2 linked regions of the Alligator mississippiensis genome follow. The protein of the gene in region 1 interacts with the protein of each later gene in a biochemical or structural test. Links are inferred from orthologs where the notes say so. Each region holds a gene or a part of one and is shown in the gene's direction. Other genes may lie near its edges.

Evidence for each region.
Region 2: the proteins of REPS2 (region 1) and EPN1 form a complex in vitro, tested with the Homo sapiens proteins (3 studies listed by BioGRID and IntAct, with this or other methods). The link is inferred for Alligator mississippiensis from reciprocal best matches to the Homo sapiens genes REPS2 and EPN1.

What each region holds. Positions count from the first base shown.
Region 1 is NC_081824.1:321,556,568-321,567,860, reverse strand, and holds the start of REPS2 (ralBP1-associated Eps domain-containing protein 2), read left to right. Parts: upstream 1-6,705; 5' UTR 6,706-6,733; coding exon 6,734-6,916; intron 6,917-11,293. UniProt on the Homo sapiens protein: Involved in ligand-dependent receptor mediated endocytosis of the EGF and insulin receptors as part of the Ral signaling pathway. By controlling growth factor receptors endocytosis may regulate cell survival.
Region 2 is NC_081828.1:75,102,666-75,113,907, forward strand, and holds the start of EPN1 (epsin-1), read left to right. Parts: upstream 1-7,018; 5' UTR 7,019-7,363; intron 7,364-10,197; 5' UTR 10,198-10,396; coding exon 10,397-10,624; intron 10,625-11,242. Other genes in the region: sacsin, read left to right, coding at 1-627. UniProt on the Homo sapiens protein: Binds to membranes enriched in phosphatidylinositol 4,5-bisphosphate (PtdIns(4,5)P2). Modifies membrane curvature and facilitates the formation of clathrin-coated invaginations. Regulates receptor-mediated endocytosis.

The sequences.
Region 1 (11,293 bases):
TCCTGTATCAGTGACCAGGGCTGTCCCTAGTGGGGGCCAAATTGGGGCAACTACCCTGAGCCCCACACTTTGGGGGGCCTCGCGGAGCCAGGTGAAGTGGTGTGACAACTCCATGCTGCCTCCGGCTTCACATCTGGCAACTCAGGCTGTCCAAATATGCTACAGTCAGGGACCACAGGTGGCAATGACATGCAGCCACTAGGCTACACAGTGTATGGGCCATGCTGTGGAGGGCTCCCCTTAAGATCCTTCCCTACTACAGGCAGTCGCTCCACCCTGGGTTGGCAGCACAGGGCCCCCTCCACTGCGTGGACCACATCTGCCACATGGACTGTACCAGTGGCCATCATAGAGGACATTCTGGTTTTCTGCTACTTTGGTTCTCTATTGATACAAAACCCGACACCTTTATGTCCTCTATTTTCCTCTTGTAGAGGACAGAGAATAACTGAACTGTCCTCTATGATGGCCACCCTACCAGTATCACAGGACCTTTTAGCACATCATAATGCACCTGTGCTCAGCTTCCCCAAGGTTCTCCTCTGCTGCACAGCAGTGGGAGAACCAGCTGCTGGGGCTTGTGGGCTGCATGCTGGCCTAACTCCAGGGCTTCGGCCCTAGAGTGACAGGCATATAAAAACTGAGACTTGAATTTGATTCAGTATCCTACTGGAAGCCAGTTTAAAGATTGGAGGATAGGTCCAACATATTTAGAGTAGCCAGTGTTGCTTGGGATATGTACTGCAGTGTCCTGTGTTCGGTAGAGTTTCCTAAGACTTGAAGGCATCAAGCCTGTTAATATTGCATTGTTATAGACTAAAGTCAAGAGATATCTAAGGCACAAAAATCCAAAGCCAGGTCATCATCAGCCAGGATGAGATGGCATCTTCTAGTCAACTACAGGTGGTAAAAACATTAGTTGTGAGACCTTGGAGTCTGTGAGAAATCCAGAGGCACTCCTATACACAGCTTAAATTTGACCAATTGCAAGTATATACTTTCAATTGAAAATGATTGCATTTTGGAAAGTATTTTCCTGTCCTCACCAGCATAGCCTCCTCCATGTCACTTTCAGCTTCAGTCAGGTTTTCTTCTCATGTGAGCTGAACAGTATTGGTGCAGTGATAGGTCAAGGATAGATAGGGAGCTGTTTGTCTTCTACTGGCACTTGAGTGCACATCCTCTGTCCATTTCTCCCACTGATTGCCTGAAGATAAAGAAAAGGACCAGAGAGAGAATTGATCCTTGTCAGGGGTTTAGTTGTGGATGTACAGTTTATCATTACTGCTTGTTTGGTGGTTGTGATGAGCAGGGATCTAGGTTTTCTGTTTCCCATGGAAAAACGGAATAAACCATGGATTTTATCTTTTAACAGAGGCAAACGCAGATTTCTCATTTTACCAGAGAAACCCACGGATTTTGCAGTTTTGCAATGAGCTCCCTGCAGGCTGGCAGAGTCCCAGCCTGAAGCGGGCTGGGGGAGCAGGAGGAGGGTGGTCAGGCAGGGAGTGCCATGTGCATGTATATGCCCATGGCTCCAGGAAGCCTGGAGAGCAACTCCCGCAGGTAAGCGGCTGGGGAGAGGGGGGTAGGGAGGGAGTTGGGCAGGGTGTTGCCCAGCTGGGCAGTTTCTGAGGCTTGGGGCCCAGGGCCACAATGTGTGGCTGCAGGGCTCAAGCAGGGAGCAGAACAGGGCCACGGGTGGCTCGTCTAGGGGGGTAGGAGGGGCAAGGCTGGCTCCCCGCTGCTGTGTGCACTCCCGGGGGCAGAGGGGACCCACGTCCCCCAGATTTGTGCATGGGGTGGAAGTGGGTGCAGGCTGTGCACTGTGGGCTCCTGCTCTGCTGCCCTCCCCTGGGGCCTCTGCAGCCCAATGGGCACCACCTGATGCTGCGGGGCAGAGCATGGCTGCACAGAAAAGGTACTTGCAGCTGCTTGCTCTATGCTATCCTGCCGATGTGTCCCATGCATGTGTGGCAGCTTTGAGGGGCACAACCCCATGCTGCTGCCCTCACTGCAGCTGTGTGTGCAGGGGGCACGTCGCCAGGGCAGCATGGAGCTCAGCTGCAAGCAGCTTTCCTGCATGACCACACTATGCCCTGCAGCACCAGGTCGCACCCGCCAGGCTGCAGAGGCGCCAGGGAGGGCAGCAGGGCAGGAGCCCACAGTACGCAGCCCGAGCTCGCCCCCACCTTGCACACAGATTTGGGGGGCTTGGGTCCCCCTTGCCGCTCGGGAGTGCATGCCGCTGCGGGGAGCCATCCCCCCTCCCTGTCAAGCCTGCAACAGGTAGCAGGGGGGAGCCAGGCTCTGCTCTGCTGCAGCAGCCGTCACCTCCTGCCAGGGGCAGGGGACTGTGGATCGTGGCCCCTGGCCCCATAGCCCTGGGAGCTGGGGGCCCCCTTCAACAGGGCTGGGGGAGCAGGAGCTGTGGGTGGGAGTGAGGGGCACAAGCAGGGCCAGGGGAACTGTGGGGGACCTTTAATTTTAATCATGGATTTGGGGGGGTTTATTACAGAATTTGTGATTTTTTTTTTATTTTTTTTTTAATCAGGGAAAACCAGGATCCCTGGTGATGAGTCCATAAACCATTGATGAGTCTAAACCTTATTAGCATATCATCATGGACCTATGCCATCTTAACTCTGACTACAAAACCTGATCTGTGAAAAAGGTATTATGCTTCCTCATTGCAAAACAAAATAATACCACAAACAATGATTTTTCAGATTGATATAAACCACGGTAAAATACTTTCACTAAAATAGTAATTCAATACTATACCCTTAGGCAGGGGGCTGGACTCGATCTTCCGAGGTCCCTTCCAGCTCTAATGTCTATGAAATCTTAAATATAATTGTCAACTAAAAAACCCTATATCAACTGACAAACCATCTCACCTCAATATTCATTGCAAACATTTAGAAAACATCCAATTGTATGCAGCACATTATAACAAGAGTTCAAAGTTGTCTGATTCATGAAGAGTAGAAGGGGCTAATTTTGTGTGAGGTGAGGTGGTTAAGATAGTTTGGAGATGAAATAATTGCAAAGATTGGGCAAGGATTTATTTAGTAGGTTTTTTAGCTTTTTATGTGCTTGTTGGTGACAGATATGTTAGTAATTTTAAGAGATCTTAAAATATTCAATTTGCTAGAATTTACTACATGTATTCTATTGTTGCCATAATATCAAGGAAAAACCAATCTCCTGCATACTTTTCTTAATATCACTTGCTCCCTAACCTCCTAATGATTTATGGGGAAATGAGTGGTGGTGTCCTTTTTACCTAGGATTAGCATGAAATGACAAATCCTTATTTGTCTGGGGCCACATACTACCAACACTGGAAGTTGCTAAGAACAGAAGATTAGATTGCTGACTGGAAGGCAGATCATCAACATTTGTAAAGGTTATCTAAAATGGCACCTAATTTAGGTTCATAGTTAAATACCTCATCCCCTGAGTTACACCTAGAAAAACAATCACTGGATGAAAATTACAATGCTTGTGTGTTGACATAAAAAAGTCAAAGGCCTGCAGACATCCTTCCTGCTGGATTTACCATCCACCATTCCCCTGTAAGGCCTAGCAAACATAGCTTGGCATTACTCCCATGATAGTCTCAGCAGTCTAATAGAAGATAAATGGAAACATGTTTGCTGTGGCCTTGCAAATAGCCTGTAGCATGACAGTCCCAGGAATGTATGCAACAGTGGAATTAGGTCATGATTCTGCAAATGTTTACATGTATGCTTAAATTAAGATCTATTATCACCCCTAAACGCTCATAGAAATAAAGGGAGTGTTGTCTGTGTGCAGAGTGCAGAATGATTGGGTGTCAATACTTAACACGACCACCAAACCAGGGAATATTTTTCTGTTAAGCATTCAGTGTTTAATGAATTTTCTTATGTATAGCACTCACGTGGCATGTTTGGCAATGAGCAATACAGTTGTGAAAAGGATTTTGGCTACAATATATATCTAATAAAGAGAGAGCTTTAAAACACTGACTTAAGTAAAGATCTAGGAATGCTCTCTCCAAACAGAAACAGCGGACAGAGGAAACATCAGTTCTTTGTCAGGAACTCCCATTGGTTTTTATTTACAGTGGAGGTGATAGCTCTGCAAGGCTGTCTGGCACAGTGCTGCCAAATGTGCCCACAAAACTGCTCTCAGCACTTGAGTGGTAGAACTGGGTAAGATTTATTAGCACTGTTAAATCAGAAGAGTTTCAGAAATGCTGAGACATGAGGCCAATGGGAGGGATAGTTTGTCAGCCTCCCTCCTGAGACAGGCAAAGGTTAATCTTGTGCTTCAAGTGTTATGTTGAGGCTGCTGGGAGATCTGTTTCCAATTCCCTGTTGCAAACTTTTTGTCACCTTGTCTCTCCAGAGTCAGGCCCCTGCTATACATTGTATGTATTATGGGATTGACTGGTCAATGGCACAATAAATTTAGACCAGCTACAGGAGCGAAGTGAGATTAGCCACAACTGCAAAGGAATTATCACACAATTAACAGGGCAAATATGCAATAAATTTAGACCAGCAACACGTGCAAATCATCACACCGGAAAAATGACCATGCAGCTATAAGAGCAGCTACAAAGTTAGTGCTTGAAAATGTGTAACAACACCTATAGCGGTTTCTATCCAGATTTTATTTGAATGTGTGGGTTTCAGTCCCCTGAGGTAGAAAAGTGGGAATAGCACTGCCATACTATCTCACAGGAGTGCCTGGGAGGGGTGTACAGTACAGACCCCAGGGATGCTTTGGGAATGGGAAGGAGCCACGTTGGTATCCAAGGGCATGAACGCCATGTGCTCCCAGAGTCTGGGGGGGCGCAGCGAGCTCCTGCAGGCGGCAGCGGTGCTGTCAGTGGTGGGAGTGTGGCAGCAGCGAGCGGTGAGCTCCTGCAGGTGGCTGCGGCCTGGGGGCGTGGGTAGCTGGCAGTGTCAGCGGTGCTTTTTGCAGGAGGTTCACCGCCAGTCTCAGGGGGTGCACGTGCACCCCCTACGCATTGCCAGTGCCTAAGGGCTTATTTGCTCTTATGCAATGACACTCTATACCAAAAATTCATTATATATGAGGTAAATTCACTCCTATGCATTCGGTGTGATGGAAGCCCGCAGTCAGCTGCTTTGTGTGGTGCATTGTGGGAGTGACACGAACCAAAATATAGTCTCTCCTGTGTGGATCTGTGCTCCTCGCTTGTTGTTTGTGACATGTTTCTGTAGTTGCCATCCCCATTATAATAGTGCCCTGTGCTTGTGTGTACTGTCTGCTGTTGGTGAGTACCAAAATTGTCCTGTAAAAGTGGTAGAAATGGGCTTGGGGGTCCATGCAGTAGAGGTCTTGGAACATATCCCTATTTGTTACATTGGAAAGTGGGTTCCCTTTATGCAAATTTGAGGTATGCGTCGTTTTCCAAGAACACATGTATAGCAAAAAGCGAGGGAAACCTGTATTAAGACAAACCTTCTCAAGAGGAGGATAGTAAAGCACTGCAACCAGCTACCCAGGGAGGGTGGGGAATCAACATCCTTGGAGATTTTTAAGACCTGGGCCAAAGCCTTGTCTGGAGTGATCTAGTTGGGAGCAGTCTTGCTTTGAGCAGAGTGCTGGACTGAGTGACCTCCTGAGGTCCCCTCATTTAGTTTATCTTATTTAGTTTAACTAATTTCCACCCATTTTCTAGGACTCTAAACGTGGACAGCCCAGGGGTTAGTGCAGACAGGTCCAGTGCTTGCTTTTTTTACCCATGCCACTTTTTTTACAGGCAAGCTGGTCTCACCCCCGTGTATAAATAGTTAGTGCTGGGTGATCTTTGGGGTTGTTGGTTGTCACTGCGTGGGTCTAAAGACGTAAGCAGACAAGGTTCTTTGGGTAGATGCGATATCTTATATTAGACCAACTGAATAGTTGGAAAAATTGTTCTTTGCAAGCTTTTGGGCACAAACACCCTTCTTCAGGCAGAGCATGAGCGACCATTGTAGTCAGGGGGGGGCACGTGCCCCCCCAGTGACCAGTCAGTGACAGAAGTGGGGGGGGTCCCTCATGGCCAATCTTGCTGACCCAGGGTAGGGATCCTCCTGTGGCTGATTGTGCGGATCAGGAAGCGGCTGCGGTGTTCCCAGAAGTGCCACGGTGCTTCATCCAGCACCCCTACTCCCTGGCTGATGCTTGCAGGGGGGCACAGGCACTCCTGCCTGCCCATTGCCTATGCGGGGAGCGCGGCCCGGCAGGGTGCACCGACACTCTGGGGGGGTGCACGCGCACCCCATACACCTCACCACTGAGGCAGAAGGAGAGTCTAACAGTGTTTTTCCTCCCATTTTCCAGGATGTGGACAGCCTAGGGGTTCAGAGCTCCTGAAGCCCTAACGAGAGGAAGCCAGGCGGCAGAGGGGGTCAATGAAGCTGTTCTGAAGCCCAGGGGCAGGGAGGGGAGCCTACAAATGCGCAGGAGACAGTGGGCAGATGTGACACCTTTGGTGAGACCAGCTCGTCAGCTGGAGGGATCGCTCTCTGCAAGCGTGGGGGCACAAGCACCAGGCACAGGGGGAGGCACCAGCCACCCGTGGCTTCCCCGTGGCGGGCCGGGCCGAGCCGCGTGCCCGGCGGGGAAGGCGGCGGCCACTGCAGAGCCGCGGGGAGGCGGGGGAGTGCCGCGGGCTGCACCTTCCCCGTTGCATCGCATCGCATTGCATTGCAGCGCCGCCGCCCTCATGGAGCCGGGCGCTGCGGCGGCCCCGGCGCTCCTGCTGCCCCTGAGCGAGGCGGAGCAGCAGTGCTACGCCGAGCTCTTCGCCCGCTGCCGGCCCGGCCCGGCCCCCGAGGCGGCGGCGGGGGGCAGCGGCGTGGCCGAGCTGTTCAGGGCATCGCAGCTGCCCGCCGACGCGCTGCACCAGGTAGGGGAGTGCGGGGCGCCGGGCTGCAACTTCGCCCCCGCGCTTCCCGCCCCTCGGGCCCGGGGGGAGCAACTTGGGGAAGAGAGTTGCAGAAGTTGTTTGCACTGGGGTGCCGAAGGGGGAGGCGGGGGATCCCCCAGCCAAGCCGGCTCTTCCCATCTTCATGGGATCCGGTGGAAGGAGGGTTGGAAGGGACCTCACCACCGCATCTGGCTCAAGGCAGGGTGGGCAGAGGGAGAAGGCCTCCTGTGGCCCCTCGCTCCCCAGCCAGCCCTTCCTTCCATAACTTAGTTTTCCCCCGCCCCATCCCATCCTGCTGCCTGGGTGCCAGCGTTTGCTGAGTCTGAACCCATGCCACTTATTTTATTTTGTTTTATTTTTTTACAGGCAAGCCTCCCGTGTATAAATATTGTTAGTGCTGGTCGATCTTTGGTTGTCACCAAGTGGGTCTCAGGACTTAAGCAGACAATGTTCTTTGGGGAGATGTGATATCTTTTATGAGATGAACTCAGTAGTTGGAAAAAATTGTTCTTTGCAAGCTTGCAGGCACAAACGCCCTTCTTCAGGCAGAGGTGTTGTGTGCACTCTCCTGGGTGGAATGGAAGTCAGTATGCAAAGGGTTGGGTTGTTTTTTTTGGGGGGGCGGGGTTGTTTTTGTTCTGGGTGGACGTATACTGGGTTTTTAGTATAGCAGTGTGAGAATTTTGTAAAGTTTGATGTTTTTAATTCGTGGAGATTTTGAAGACCTGGCTAGACAAAGTCTCAGCTGGGATCATCTCATTGGGGATGGTCCTGCTTTGAGGCGGGAGGTGGGATGAGATGACCTCCTTGGGTCCCTTCTAACCAATGTTTTCTAGGATTCTGCGCAGCACTGAGCCAGGGTGCTGGGGAAGAGCTGCTGCAGGGAAAGGCGTTGACTGAGGATTGGGAGGTTTTTATGCTGTGCAGGGGGCATTTGCTGGCTTTAGTGTATTGGCACCTTCCTCCTAGACTCTTACTAAGCTGGACTGTGACTGTTTTAGTATGGTGGGGGCTGAAGGCGCAGCTCTTGGGTGTTACCTGTTGTCTAACAGGATTGAAACCTAGCTATCACAATAAACTCCTTGAGGTGTGTTACAGCAGTAAGTGGCAGTTCTCTCTCTCTTTTTTTCTTCCTTTTTTGGGGGGCAAGGACAGTTTTGTCTTTGAAATGTTCATCGCAGTTCAGCATTGAAACTTAAGGTGGTGGTAATGTTGCTGAAATTGTTCTGGGAGGGTTGGTGGTAATGGAGGGACTTCCATCTGAGTAGAGGCTACAGAGGTGAGGCCTGTTCAGTTAAGGAAAGAGAGACTGGGGCAGGGGACGGGGACAGGGACACTCACATGTGATGTAGGTTCGCACAAAACGAAATGGCAAGGAGAAAAGTCAATCACGGTTTATTCTTTACTCTCTTTTGCAGAAGAACAGGGTCACAAAACCAAACTAGCAGGTAGTAAGTTTAAAGTGAACACAAGGAAGTTCTTTTTTCACCCAACACATCTTTCCAGTGTGGAGGTCCTTGCCACCAGGTGTTAAGGAAGCTGCCAGCTTAGCTAGCTTCAAAAGAGGCTGGACAAATTCTTGGAGGAAAGGGGCATCAGGAGCTATTGAGCACAGGACTTGGGGGTACCGCCTCTGAATTGGAACCTCTTGGTTCTTAAATGCTGGGGGCTGCAAGTGAGAGAGGAACGAAAACCTGGTCATACCTTCTTCATAGTCCCGTTCAGCATCCACTCTCTGCCGCTGTGTGACACAGGCACGGGCTGTTGCCCACTGAGTAAAGCTAAAAGCCCACTTTAATCTGGGAGAGAGTGGCACTAAGTGCACATCAGGTGATTACAGGGGACAACTAAAGAAAACAGGGACAGAAGTGAGGGTCAAAGCTTCAAAATGCGTTCACCAAGGGGAGACACCCGTGTGACAGGCCTTTTGATATGCCATTTGGGACAGTGGGCCAAGTAGAGCTATAAGCCCCCCTGGGTGATGAGGGCACATCACTGATTACTTGTGACAACAGAAAAACAAAATGGGGATGGGAGTGAGGGTCAAAGTTTCATAACAAGTGCACCATGGGGGGACACCTGTGACACAGGCCTATTTGCTATTTTGGGGATTCGTGCCCACCATGGGGAAACTATAAGCCCTTCTTGGAGAAGAAGGTGAATGAGAAAGTAATAACCGATTGCTTGGGACAAATGGTAAAAATCAGGGATGGGAGTGAAGGTCAAAGGCTCGTGACAACTGCACCAAGGAGGGACACCTGTGTGACATGCCTTTTTGTTGCCTTAGGGCATGGGTTCCCAAGGTTTGTGTCAAAGAAAAAGCAGTGGGTGCCAATATGACAGCATTTTTGGTTGGAATAATGATTTTTCCTGATCATGAAAATGCATGCAGGCACCTGAATAAAACCTCAGGGGGTGCCATGGCACCTGTGGGCACTGCACTGGGAACTGCTGCCTTAGGGGATTGTGGGCCTAGGCCCACCAGGTAAACTATCATCCTCCCGGTTTAAGGCAACAAGTGATTCCTTGGGACAAATGATAAAAAAAAACAGGGACAGGGGTGATGGGCAAAGGTTAATAACTAGTGTGCCAAGTGGGGACATCTGTGTGACAGGACACTGGACAAGATGGACCTATTATCTGACCTAGTAAATGGCAATTCTTATGCTCATAATAGTTGCAACACAGTGTGTGGTAGTTGCTGGTTCATCCTCTGATTTGCATAGTAGTGGAGATGTGATCTCTTGACATATTGTTTGCATATCAGCTTACAGTCATCTGGGATCCGTTCGGGTGAATGCACTATTATCTGTAGTCCCTTGTGAGAAAGGCACAGGCAGTATTGTTCTTATTTACTTTTACATATTGTCTACCTTGTTAGTAAACACATCCAGGGTTATCATTAATATCGCAAGACACCATCTTACGTTGGTTTGATCAGTAACTATTCTAACAATGGCTATATATTGTAAAGTTTATGGATTATACTAAGTATGTTTTATTATCTTCAACAAATTCTTGGTATTAGGACATTAGCTTACATAAATATAAAGTATACACAGTGATATAATGTGTGGACATACATTTAGGCTGAAAATTACAAGGTTTTTTGCCATCAGTGGAATAAGTTTCTGGAAGAGCTTTCTGATGCATCTGATAAGTTTTATTTTTATATTTATATTTTTTGCTCAGCTTTTAACTAGTTTTAACATGGAATTTGATTAGTATAGGAAGAATATGAAGTTAGTTGTCTGTGACAGGATAATCTTAATGGTCACCTGCAGTCTCCATGTTGGAGGATAGACGTAACTTGCAGTGTGGTAGGTGTTTGGCAGTCCCAGGCTTCAGGGTATTTGATGGTAGCCATCTGCTGAGAGCCAGGAAGAATTTTTTAATTTATCTTTTTTTCTGGCCCCTTGTCATGAAGAATGCTGGGTTTGGGGATTTTTCGCTGCTTTTCACTGATGCATTGGGATTGTTTACAGTTAAGGCTGGAATTTTTTGATTGGGGTGTGCTTATACTCCTGTTGGTACTTAGAAACCCAGTAGATGTTGGCATGTGGGTTGTTCTCTTCTGTTTGTGGTCTTACTAGTCACCAAATTTGGGGTCAGGAAGGAATTTGTTTCCCCTATGCACTGTGAGAGTGTTGCCTTCTTCTGTAGCATGGAGCACGGACCTCTTCTTGAATCATTTTAGCGTGTATTAACTAACCACATTCCTGTCATGGTTGCGGCAGGACATTGACAGTGCCTTTGTTTCCCTTGTTTTTGCCTTTTGCATCCATTCTTGGTGTTTTGGGGCTTGTTGTTTGTAGATTTGTGCTGGGGTTTGTAGTAAATCAGCAACTGCAAATGCAGGGGACTGAACTCTGTGGTTCAAGAAATCCCTTCCAGTTTCAGGCTCTTAAGAAATTTGCCTTGGACATGTTAAATATATCTTAGTTCTCTTCCTTCTGTGAAACAAAAGTTTGATTAACTCATCAAAGTAACGTGTTAGCAATTAATTAAACTGAGAGAATAATACTGAACTCTTATTTTGTTCACAAGAATTTAAAAATACTGTTGTTCAGAAGTCCTTGTTCTATATATCAAACAGACAAAAAGGGTCAAGGCTAGGCTGAGGAACAGGTATAACTGGCCAAGGCATGAAGGCGCTAAAAGTCCTGTTGCCCTGGAAACTGCCAGTCCTTTTACTGAGCATATTTAGATTTACATAATATGCAGGTTGAACTAAAATAGGGGTAATTATGTGACCAAACCTTCCCCCACCTTCTGAGGATGATGTTTATCTGATATGTGGAGGGAGAATGTTGCTAGTCACTATAGTAACGCTCTTGGGAATCAAATTGTTGCCCT
Region 2 (11,242 bases), on another chromosome or scaffold:
CAGATCCAGCAGCTAGAAGAGAATGGGAACCTGCAACCTGCCAGTGGTACCAGCCCTAGTCCACATGGTTCCAGGGGCTCTCATGCCTTCTGGGGCACATGGGACAAGCAGGCTCACCGACACAGGCAGAGCCGCCAGCAATTCACAGAGCAGGCACGTGGCAACTTCCACTATGATTTCTGGTCACACCAGCAGACCAAGGTGTCCAGAAGCACCCAAGCTGGGGAGGCCATGCGCTGGTTCCGGCAGGCAGAGAGTGACTTACGAGCAGCCTGCCATGATGTGGGCCAACATGCCACTGAGTGGGTCTTCTACAAAGTCCACCGTGCTGTGGAGAAAGCTCTGGCTGCCGCCACATTCAGTCACGGAGAGCCCTTTGAGCCAGGGCACATGCTGGACACGTTGGCCCAGAAGGTGGCGGCCTATGCCCCTCAGCTGGAAGGTGTCCTGGGGCTGGTGGATAAGCTGGGAGACTATGGCGTGGACAGCAACACCACACAGTATCCCAGCTACCACCACCCACCCACCATTCCCAATGAGGCCTTCCCGGCTGCCAAGGAGCAAGAGGTGCTCAGGCTGGCACAGAGCCTGCTGGATGCGGTACAGGTCTATATGACCCGGCCATGAGACTGCCCCCAGGTGCCAAAGCCAGAGACTGTACCACAGGGACTAAAGCCTGCTTCTGGCTACAACTTTTTAGGGCTGAATAGGTCTCCCCAGGTTGGGGGAAAGGGAGACGGGCTACATGCTACAGCCCTGCTCCTCACTTCATTCTTAGTTGTCTGTATGGTTTTGGTTTTTGTTTTTTTCTGGGAAATAAATTTGCTGTTTTCAGTGTCATGGTGCCATGTTTGTTTGTGTCCCTCTGCACTGCTCAGACCCCTCACTTCTTACCATGGTGTATGCATATGTGTCAAGAGGGTCCAGGCTCAGAACAGCTTCCTTCCCTGGATTTAGCTGTCGGGCACTACTCAGCCATGCTATCACCCTTCCATAGCTAAGCTATGTCATCTCCGTGCCCCAGGCCAGGGCCCTTTCCGAAAAATCTGAAGGTACATCATGCCAGGGGGCAACTATGTAGCCTAACCCCCCTCCCCCCCCGCCCATCCAGAGTTGACATCAGACAGAACTTGTTACCTATGGGGGTAAGAGATGATACTCTTTCACCTTGGCAGGGCAGCACAACCCCCACCTCCCCTGTACCACCCTATCCATACCAACTTGTGACATAGAAAAGGGGAGGAAGACGGGTCCAGAGGTATTTCCACTGTGTCCCCTGCTTCTGGGAGACCTGACAATAGGAGGATGGCCTACTCGTGCTTGTGATAAGTTGCAGGGGGCCTGTAATGACTGACTCTTGGATAGAGGCCATCCCTTCAGTCCAGTTGAGACTTCCCTGTGCTCATGACAGGTACTGTTGGAAGTGTCTTAGCTCCTGCCACTCCCTTGCATAGTGCACAAAAGATCCTATTATGGGTCTCTAAGGGTGCTGGCCCTGATCTAGGCACATGCATGGGCACAGACTGGCTCAGCGTGTGGCAATGGCATATCTCTGTTGGGTGTGATTGGTTCTCATGCAGGGGCCACAATGTGCTGCATTTCAGACTGATTCACCTCCTGGGACAGGAGCACATTGCACAAAATCACCTGGAGAGAGATTGGTGGGCAAGCGGGGGTCCCAAGGTGGGGAGCTGTGTAGGGAAGCTTGGCTTTCCCCCTCTACTCATGGGCTGCCCAGGCCTTGTCCAGGACCAGTGCTGGATACTCTTGCAAGTAAGGCCTGGCCTAGGTGCCAGGCACCAGTCCTAGGGCACAGGGACTTAGCCACAGTGGGATTCTCCAGCACAGCTGACTGGCCCAGAACCTATCCCACTGCACAGAGAGGCACCTGGCTGGTCCCCAAAATTGTGTGCTGCAGCATGCCCACAGCACTTTCCAGACCCCAGGTAAAGGATCCAGAGCCCCAGAGCACTCCTCACTCCACTACCTACAGCATGAGCAGAGTGGGAGACGGTGCCAATGGCAGAAATGTCTCTCAGGTGTCTGATGCTGAACACAACCCAAACATTACACGGTCCTATCTCCACTCCACCCCCACTGAACTTAACCATGTAATACGCACGCCCTCCTCCCTTCCAGCAACAATCCAGTGTACAGTCCCATGGCAGGATAGAATTCAAGGTGGAACTATGCTCTTGCATGTCCCTTCCTGTTGCTCTTGTCCTCATTTCTGTAGTTTCCATCTGTTTCTTCTCCCTGCTGGTTTCCACCTCCAGACTATGTGGGGGAAGGTTTAATTCTTCATGCTACATATATGGCCTGGGGGTCTCCAGCTTTGCTCTTTTACTCCTGTGGCTGTAGGTTGTACCCCAGATTTCTTCTGTAGCTCTTCATTTGTTATTCTTTCAGGTCAAAATGCTCTGAATTTTCTTCTTGGGCAGTCCTTACGAAATATTTCTGATAACTACACAAATCTTTGGCACTGTCTTTGGGTACTTGGGCTTGGAGAGGAACATGCTTTTCCTACTGCTGCAATGTTCTTGCACTTTGTTTTTTAGGTTTGTCAGATTTGTCCTCCAAATGTTTCCAAGTGATGGAAAGGCTTTAATACATTTGATTGACTGACATCTTTATCTCTCTCATTGTCTCCGCTTGCTGTTATTGTACTGCCTGGATATGTACGTTCTTTGACATTCATGATCTCTTTTTCACTGTTGATAACAGTGAAACAATCTTTGTTCTCAGTATTTAAACACATTGACTTGGTCTTCTTTATGTTGATTCTGAGTCCAATCTTTCTGGAAGCTTCTGTGAACACCAATGGTGGTTTTTTGCATACCTCCCTTGCTGCTAGGCTGCAGGAAGATATTGGCACCATCTAAATCAGTGAAATGCCTCTTGTTTCTTGCTTTGTAACTTCTTTCACCAGCCAGAATGAACCAGAGGGGTAAGAGGATACATTTTATCTGTATTTCTAAATATTTACTCCTACTTTTCTAATACAGAACTGACTGAAATTCCCATATTTGGTACTTGTATGTCAGTTGATCTTCAGGCTTATATGATAACCAAAATATACTCTTCAAAATCTTATCTTTGAGATAGAAATTAAGATAAAATACAATGAACTATATTTTGTTCTGTTCGTTTACACAGCTCTTATTCCAGAATAGTGGTTAATAGTTTAAATTATACTCAAGATTTACAGGAGCACACTGCACAAAATCACCTGAAGGGAGATTGGTGGGCAAGTGGGGGGTGGAGTGGGGATGGAGACAGAAGGCTACATGCTGCTGCCCTGCTCACTCCATTCTTAGTTTTATCTGTTCTAATTTTATCTGTATTTCTAAAACTAACATTGAATTTGCTCTCTCTTGATTTCTTTGTATTCAGAATTGTCATGCAGAGTTTCAGCAACAGCCACCATTTTTGTGGAATTCCATAATGCTGTGAGATGTTCCATAGTGACTTGGTGAAGTTTTATCACACACCTTCCTCAAATCCACAGAGTAAAGACTGACCTGCTACCTTCAGCACTTCATTCTAAGGTCTAAAGAAAAAGACCTGATCAGTCCACAATATTCTCTTGCTAAATCCTGCCCCCTCTTGTCACAATGGACTTGGACTTCATTTGAGATGCTGCTGCTAAGAGCTTTGCCTGCAAATTGGCAAAAGGGTTACTTCTCTCCAGTCTTGCAAGTACCTGACTTCCCTTCCTAATGGTGATGCTGCGCCTCCAGATTACTGGCTTATTTTAGGAAGTTGAGAAGTTTCCATTTCACGAGCCTTCTACTGGACATTTCTGGGCAGAACCCATCCTCCTCAGGTGGTTTCCCATTTTTCAGAAATTCAGCTTTTCCATAGTACCTCTTTTATAATTTCAGCTGGTGAGCCATGCAGATTTTGATAACTTTCTTGGATATTTAACAAATCTCATCTATTGAAAATGATTTTGAAGTGACACTTCTGTCTTATGCTTCCTTTTTGTAATTGATTACCTGCCTCAACTTTCAATGGGAAGTATCACTGTTTACAGATGCTCAATCCCCCCTAAGTCTTCCAGTGACTTAACCTGTGAGTTTGGCAGCTGCAGTCACAAGCTTTCCAAAATATTGTCTTTCATTGCTTCTGGTGTTGGCTACAAATGTCCAACTCGGGATCCTTAAAATTCTGGTTTATTAGGCAGATTGAAACACTGTAATGAAGTCAAATCATAAACCTGGGGGCTGGTCCCCACACACGTGCGCACACACACAGTAGCGAGCTACAAGAGTCGGGTATACCTATCCCACAGGCTCTGGAGTCTGCCGTCGATGGCCAGTCAAGGCTTCTTCCAGCGTGGTGTTATCACCACGCTGGTCCTTCTGGCTGGACAGGTCGGGTGCTGGTCAAGTTGGAGATCAAGAGGGTGCCGCTGAGGGTCACTTTTCACTGCTTTTTATCTGTCCTTGGCAGACTTTGGTGACTCCCCAGCTTTCAGGTTTGTCCAATCCAGGGGTCGTTGACCCTTGTGGGACTTCCCCCTCGGTGGCTACTGGATGGCATCTGTCAGCCCCTGGGGTCATCCGCAAGTACGTGCAGGTTTGGGAGTCCATTGATGAATTTTGAATAGGGCTCTGGGAGCGGTCGATCTGGAGATATTCAGCCCAAAAGTTGGTCCCCGGTGTTAATTAATTCAGACCAGGGCTTCTAGCCCTTGAACAGTGAAGTATAGAGAATTCCCGGTTGCTACATTGTCTCCTATTGATTTCTTCTGTTGGTTGATCTGCAGTTTCCCTAGGTGTTAATTGATACTTGCTACTGTGTTACACGCATTCAGTCACTGATTCACTAGGTCTTTCAGGGGCCAGCCTGATACAGGAAAGCTGCAGTTTAATTCCTGCCCTTGTTAACATTGTTACAGTGTATAACTTACTTCTGAAACTAAACACATTTAGTTAAAAGGTGAGGAGTATAAAATATAAGCTACAAGAGTAATGCCATGGCACACAAATAGATAAAAATACCAAAATACAAGGGGAGATACGAAATACACACGTACAAACTTTAAAATACAATTCCTTATCTTATACTGAAAGAAAGAGGAAGGAAGAAAAGGTAGAAGAGAAACATCCAAAGAGGGGAGAGCAAACGCAGGCAAGAGGAAAAGGGGGCTTTCTGCTACACTGGTATAATTCTTTACCTTTTGTTCTTTCTTGGGCAAGCTTCTGCCAACATTCTTTTCTGTTGGTCTCATAGTTTCATAGTAGCTAGGGTCAGGAGGGACCTCAACAGATCATCTAGCCTGACCCCCTGCCACAGGCAGGAATGAATGCTGGGTTCACAAGACCCCAGACAGGTGATCGTCCAACCTCCTCTTGAATTTGTCCAGGGTAGGGGCGAGGACCGCTTCCCTGGGAAGTTGGTTCCAGATTTTGGCCACCCTAACTGTAAAATATTGCCTTCTGATCTCTAACCTAAACCTATTCTCCATCAGCTAATTACCATTGTTCCTCGTCACCCCAGGTGGTGCTGGGGAGGAAAGGGCTTTACCTATTTGCTGTTGCTCTCCCTTGATGAGCTTGTAGGCAGCCACCAGGTCCCCCCTCAGCCTCCTCTTGCAACAGGTTCAGGTCCTTCAGTCTCTCCTCGGCCTGTCCTGCTGCCCTCTCACCAAGTGGGTGGCACTCCTCTGAACCCTCTTCAGGCTGGCCACATCCCTTTTGAAGTGTGGCGCCCAGTACTGGACACAGTACTCCAACTGTGGCCTGACCAAAGTCGCATAGAGGGGGAGTATCACCTCTCTGGACCGGCTTGAGATGCATCTTTGGACACATGACAAGGTATGGCTGGCCTTGCTGGCTGCGGTCTGGCATTGGCGGACTCCTATAATGACTCCCTCTTGATTTCTTTTTTTCCTTCCTTCCATCATTTTCCAAGTAATCTTCAATATCCATTGTGTTTTTTCCTGGGTTTCCTCTTGTGTCCTTGCACATTTACCTTTACTTTCATTATTGTATTAAACCAAGAGATATCCAGATCTTCTTCATTCAGTCTGCTCCTGATATCTGCATAGAACCCCTGCTTGACAGTTTGATTTTTCCTCTTTCAACTCCTTTGGTTTTTCTGCAACTTTAACTTGCTTTCTGTGAAGGTCATTTGCATGTTGCTTCACTTGCATTGAGGGAAGATTTTTTTCACTCATGGTTAATCATGGTTGGACTCTGTGTACAACTCTGGTGGAATCCATGCCATTTGGTGCATGCTTTTGCACTAAAAACCAGTAACCCCATGACTTAAGTCACCTGCAGCAAGGTTCATATATGCTTTCTGTTCCTGTTTCTTGTGCTAACTCCATGTCTACACATCTTTCTGTAGTCAGCATGATCATATTTAGATCTAATGCTGCCATGGGTGATGACAGATACGTCCAGATGTCTTGTATTTCATTCACTGTGGACTGAAGATTCAGGTAGAACTCCTCTACTTTCCCTTGCCTCTTCGGTGGGCGCGGGCCAAATGACAATGGATTGTTTCCAAGCTTGAAATCAATTGAGGAGGGCCAAGGATGTCTTGGGGTACCTTTCACTGGACCCGTGGTTTGGGCAGTGCGGGGAGAGCCGTTGGACCAGGCGCTGCTCAGGGCCCACCCATGCAGCTGGGCCCATGAACACTTCTCCCGAACGACCCTGCCTCCGACGTTCCCTGCAGCACCCGGCAGCAGCAACCCTCCACCTGAAACCTAAACCTACTACCCCCCCGCATTTTTAGGTTGCCATGTTCGCAGGGTCAACGGGCCAAGCAGCCTATTCCGCCTCGATTGCCAACGGGGAGAACCGAGACTCCCGCGTCCTTAAGGCTCGGCGGATGCACTCGCGCCTGGCGTCTCAGCTCGGGGGTGGAGCTCTGCTGCCCCGCCCCGTCTCCATGGCAGCGGCCGGAAGGAACGGCGCGCGCAGGCTGACACGACGCGGCGCGGGGTGGGAGCTTGACAGGGCAGGGAGCGAGGGCGGAAGTGGGCCGGGCAGGCACCTTCCGCTTCCGGTGCGGAGTCCTCCTGTGGTTGCTTCCCCCTCCCCTTCCCTCCTTCCGTGGCGCCGAGGGGCCCCGGGGCTTCCGGGGCCATAGAGGGGGGCTAGAGTGGCCCCCAGCGAGAGGGGCCCGACCGCGACCCACCCGCCCGCCCGCGGAACGCCGCCGCCGTCTCGGGCATGTCCGCGCGGGGCCGCCGCCGCTGGCTCTGAGGCTGGAGCGGGCCGGGGCGGGCGGGGGAGACGCTCGAGACCCCCGGCCCCGCCCCGCCCCGCCTGCGGCAGCGGCAGCGGCAGCACCCAGGAGTCCGGGTGACTGGGCTCGGCCTGGCCCGGCAGACCGCGGCGGGGAGGTGAGTGCGGCCGCGGGGCGAGGGCCTGGCAGGGCGCAGCCTGCGCCGGAGTCCAAAGTCCTCCCGGGAGCGAGGCCAGGCCCTGCGCGGAGGGACAGAGTCCGCGGGTGGGGCCGTGGCTGCTGCTCCGACCCATCAGGCCCTTCCCTGCCCTGCGTGGGGAGCCCGGGCTGGGCGGTTGCGGGACCCTACTGGGTGCCAGGGAGCACCGGGCCGGCAGGGGAAAGGGAGGTGTTGTGACCCACCCCGGTGGCACTAACTGGCTGGGCAGCAGCAGCAGCCAGGGTGACCCCTGCCTCAGCTCTTCCCTCTCCCAGGCTCCCAAAAGCTGTCAAGTACCTGCTTCTGCTGCCCAGGGCCAGGCCCAGCTGGGGTGGCCCCACTCATGCTGGGGACTGGTGGGGGAGGGAGGGGACCTACTGCCTTGGGTCTAGCCTGTTATCCCTTCTCCCTTGGTGAGCAGGAGGGACTGGTCTGTGCTTCCTAGCAGGACCTTGCTGGCCCAGAGCTGCATCAGCTGTGTGTATGTGATGGGGAGGGGGACTCTGGCAGGTGGTGCTCGGGAGGAGATTGTAGCCCTGATGCTATCTGCAAGCCAGAGGTAGCCCGTGCCTCAGCCCCTGGGAGGGTCTGTCTTTCCTCCAGTTTATCTGTGAGCCTTCCCATATTCCTACTGGAGTCAGTTTCATGGTTCTACTCCTCCCAGGACCACTGACCAGAGCTTTGTCTGTTTCTGCCCCAGCAGAACTAAGTTGGGCAGGACAGGGGCCAGATTCTGCTCCTCAGAGTGGGGGCAGGGGGAGGAGGGGGGCACTGAGGCTCACCTTAGAGACACTGCTGTGGGTCCCTGTGCCTGCAGCAGTGGGGAGACACTTGAGGCTGTCTCCCTTTCCTGTCCTGGTTCCTCTGAGTGTGCAGGTGTCCCTGAGCAGAGCTCCTGTGCTTGTTACAGGTGCTGGAGACATGGCCTTGGGGCAAGGTGCCTGGGTTCCATTTCCCCCTTCACTGCCAACCTGCTGTAGGCAAGACCCTTCTTCAGTGAGACCCCTGTTTCCCTGCCTCACCTGCTGCCTGTCTGGTCTGCTTAGATACCTGCCTTTCTCAGGACCTGGGTAGTACCAGCTGGGATAGGGCCCTACTAATTCTTGGGTAGCTGGCCCTTTGGGTATGGCTGGCCCAGGAGAATGTGAGCTGGGACTCTGGGTGCATGGGTTCCTGCACGGGTCTGTGTGGTAAGAGTTGGGGATGAATGTATCTGGATGCTGAGGCCTGTGAGGAAATCCTGGCTTTAAGTTTGTCTCCTCTTTAACTCTGGCAGACGCTTCCTCAGCTCAGCTTCTGGCAATCTGGGCTTTCCTTGCCTTTACCTTCTCCATTATCTGCCCAAGGGGGTGGGAGGTTGGGAGCCAGGATGCTTGGGGTCTTTTTCCAGATCTGTTCACAAATCCTTTCTGCTTTCCTGGGCTTTGGTTTGCTGCTCTGTAGAACAGGGCTGATGACATTAATCCTGGGGGCTGGGGGGCTGGTGAGTGTTGCATTCTCTAGGCTCCTGATGTCTTGGGGTGTACTTGCCCAGATGATCCAGTGGGGTTGGGGGCTCTCCCAGGTGGCTCCCAGCCCCTCGCCCTAACTGCTTTCAACCTGGGCTTCCCAGCACTAGGAACATCCTGAGCTGGGGCTGTGAGTGGGGGCTGGCTGCCCCTCAGGGACTTTGGGTTGTCTCTTTTAGCTTAGGGCCATGATGGACACTAGAGGATGCTACTGGGGTCACTGGGGGGGGTCTTGCTATTTTCCTTATAGCACTTTGCCCAGCTCTGGTAGAGGGCACATTCAAGTGTCTTCCATGGAGTCCAAGCCTCTCATGCCTCACGTCTCAAGCTCCTGGTGCAGGACTAGCCCAAGGGGAAGGAAGTGGGGGCCTTCTGCATTTCTGAGGTGTGAGTCATGGGACAAGGAGCTGTGAGGCTTCCTTCCTTCCTGCAGCAGCACTGTGCTGGACTTGGCTCAGCACGGGCTCCTTTGCCTGGAGGATCCCTGTGGAGGATCCCCTTGCCTAGTGCTGAGATGCATCTGCCTTTGAGGTAGGGGTGTCCATGTAAAAGGGGGTACTCTTGTGGTTGGAGTGCCCACATGGAGCATTTGAGGCACTGTTTCTCAGAGTTTTGGTACCTGGGGAACTTTCATTTTCTGCATTTAAAACTGGCAGCACCGTTCACTTGCCAGTCTGTGGGCCTGGTCCTGCTGTGCAGGGCCTACATGGCTGGGGCCTCATCCTGTTTGTTTCCTGTGGCACACTTCTACCACTTTTACAGTACACTCTTTGGGACTCGCTGACTTGGGGGTCACTGTTCCCATTTCCCAAGGGTGAGGGTCTAAACTCGACTTTTCACTCCTCAGAGGGTGGTCCTGTGGGTCCTACCTGGCATCCTAGTTGCAGCAACTTTCCCTTACCCCCAGAAGGTGGCCCCTACTCATCTCTCAGGGGTCTGCACGTGCTGGGGACGGGTGGGACATGGGCACGTGTAGCCATCCTGGAGCCCTTGGCTGCCCTCCCCAGGGCAGCACCTGGCTGTTTGTGGCATAGTGGGGCTTGGTTCTCTACTGGGTCCATGTCCCATGCTGCCTGAAGGGCAACTGCATTCCACTTAGAAGTCCCAGAGGTGGGACTGTCCTTTGCTGATCCAGGGCTCAGCTTGGCCTGGGACCAGGGAACTAGCCTTGGATGAGGTGTGGGAACCTAGGCATTCTGGCTCCTTGCTGCTTCCCAGGATGCTGTGCTGTTGGTGTGCAGGTGTGGGCACTGTCCATGATGCCCCCCAATCTCTCTGTTGCAGATGTGGCCCTGACTGGTAGCCATGCCAGCCTGTTGACATGGAGCTGTGAGCTCCCCTTTAACACCGGCAGTTTCATTGCCACCCCAGCCCTCACCCCCAGCTCTACAGACACAAAGGCCTTCTCTGAAGCCCCTGCTGGACTGAGGGGCCCTGCCCCCACTTGCCTGTCTCCCAGTGCCAGACCCACCCTGCTGTCACCATGTCGACTTCGTCACTTCGGCGCCAGATGAAGAATATTGTGCACAACTACTCAGAGGCAGAGATCAAGGTGCGGGAGGCTACATCCAATGACCCATGGGGCCCGTCTAGCTCGCTCATGTCCGAGATAGCTGACCTCACCTACAACGTGGTTGCATTCTCTGAGATCATGAGCATGATCTGGAAACGCCTCAATGACCATGGCAAGAACTGGCGCCACGTCTACAAGGTAATGCCCTGCTGCAGCTTCAGCCACTGGAATCTGGGCATCTGGGATCCCTGCCATCCCCACATCTCCCCTCTCAGACTGGAAGAGAACCTGGGTGTCCTGGCTCCCAAACTGCTTGCTTTAAGCCAGCAGGCCTCCCCAAGCTGTGCATATCCCAAGTGTCCTGGCTCCCAGAACCCACTGTTGCTGTAACCCACCAGATCTCCTTCCCTGAGGTGAAGAAAAGCTCCTAGGTCCCTCTACTCTAGCCCTTTGGGCACTACCTGCCTTGCTACTTGCTGCCTTCAATGTGGCTTTTACAGTTATGTGATCACAGAATCATTAGATACATCTTACGAGGTTGAGTGCCCTGGCAGTGGGACCCTGTACCTGAGCACAGGTGGTGCTGGGGCCAGCTGAGTGTCATGGCTGGGTGATGGTTTTGGGCCACATAGCCCAGCCTGGTTTTGGGCCACATGGCTACAGCCTCCCTGTGGCCTGGTCCAGGGTTGCCTGTGTGGGGCAGGGACTCTGATTGCTGTTATGGGGACCTGGGAGAGTCACAGGGTACCTAGGCTATGGTGGTAGTGGGGTGAATGAAAGCTGCATATTGGGGTGGGCTGTTGGGGTGGGGTGGGC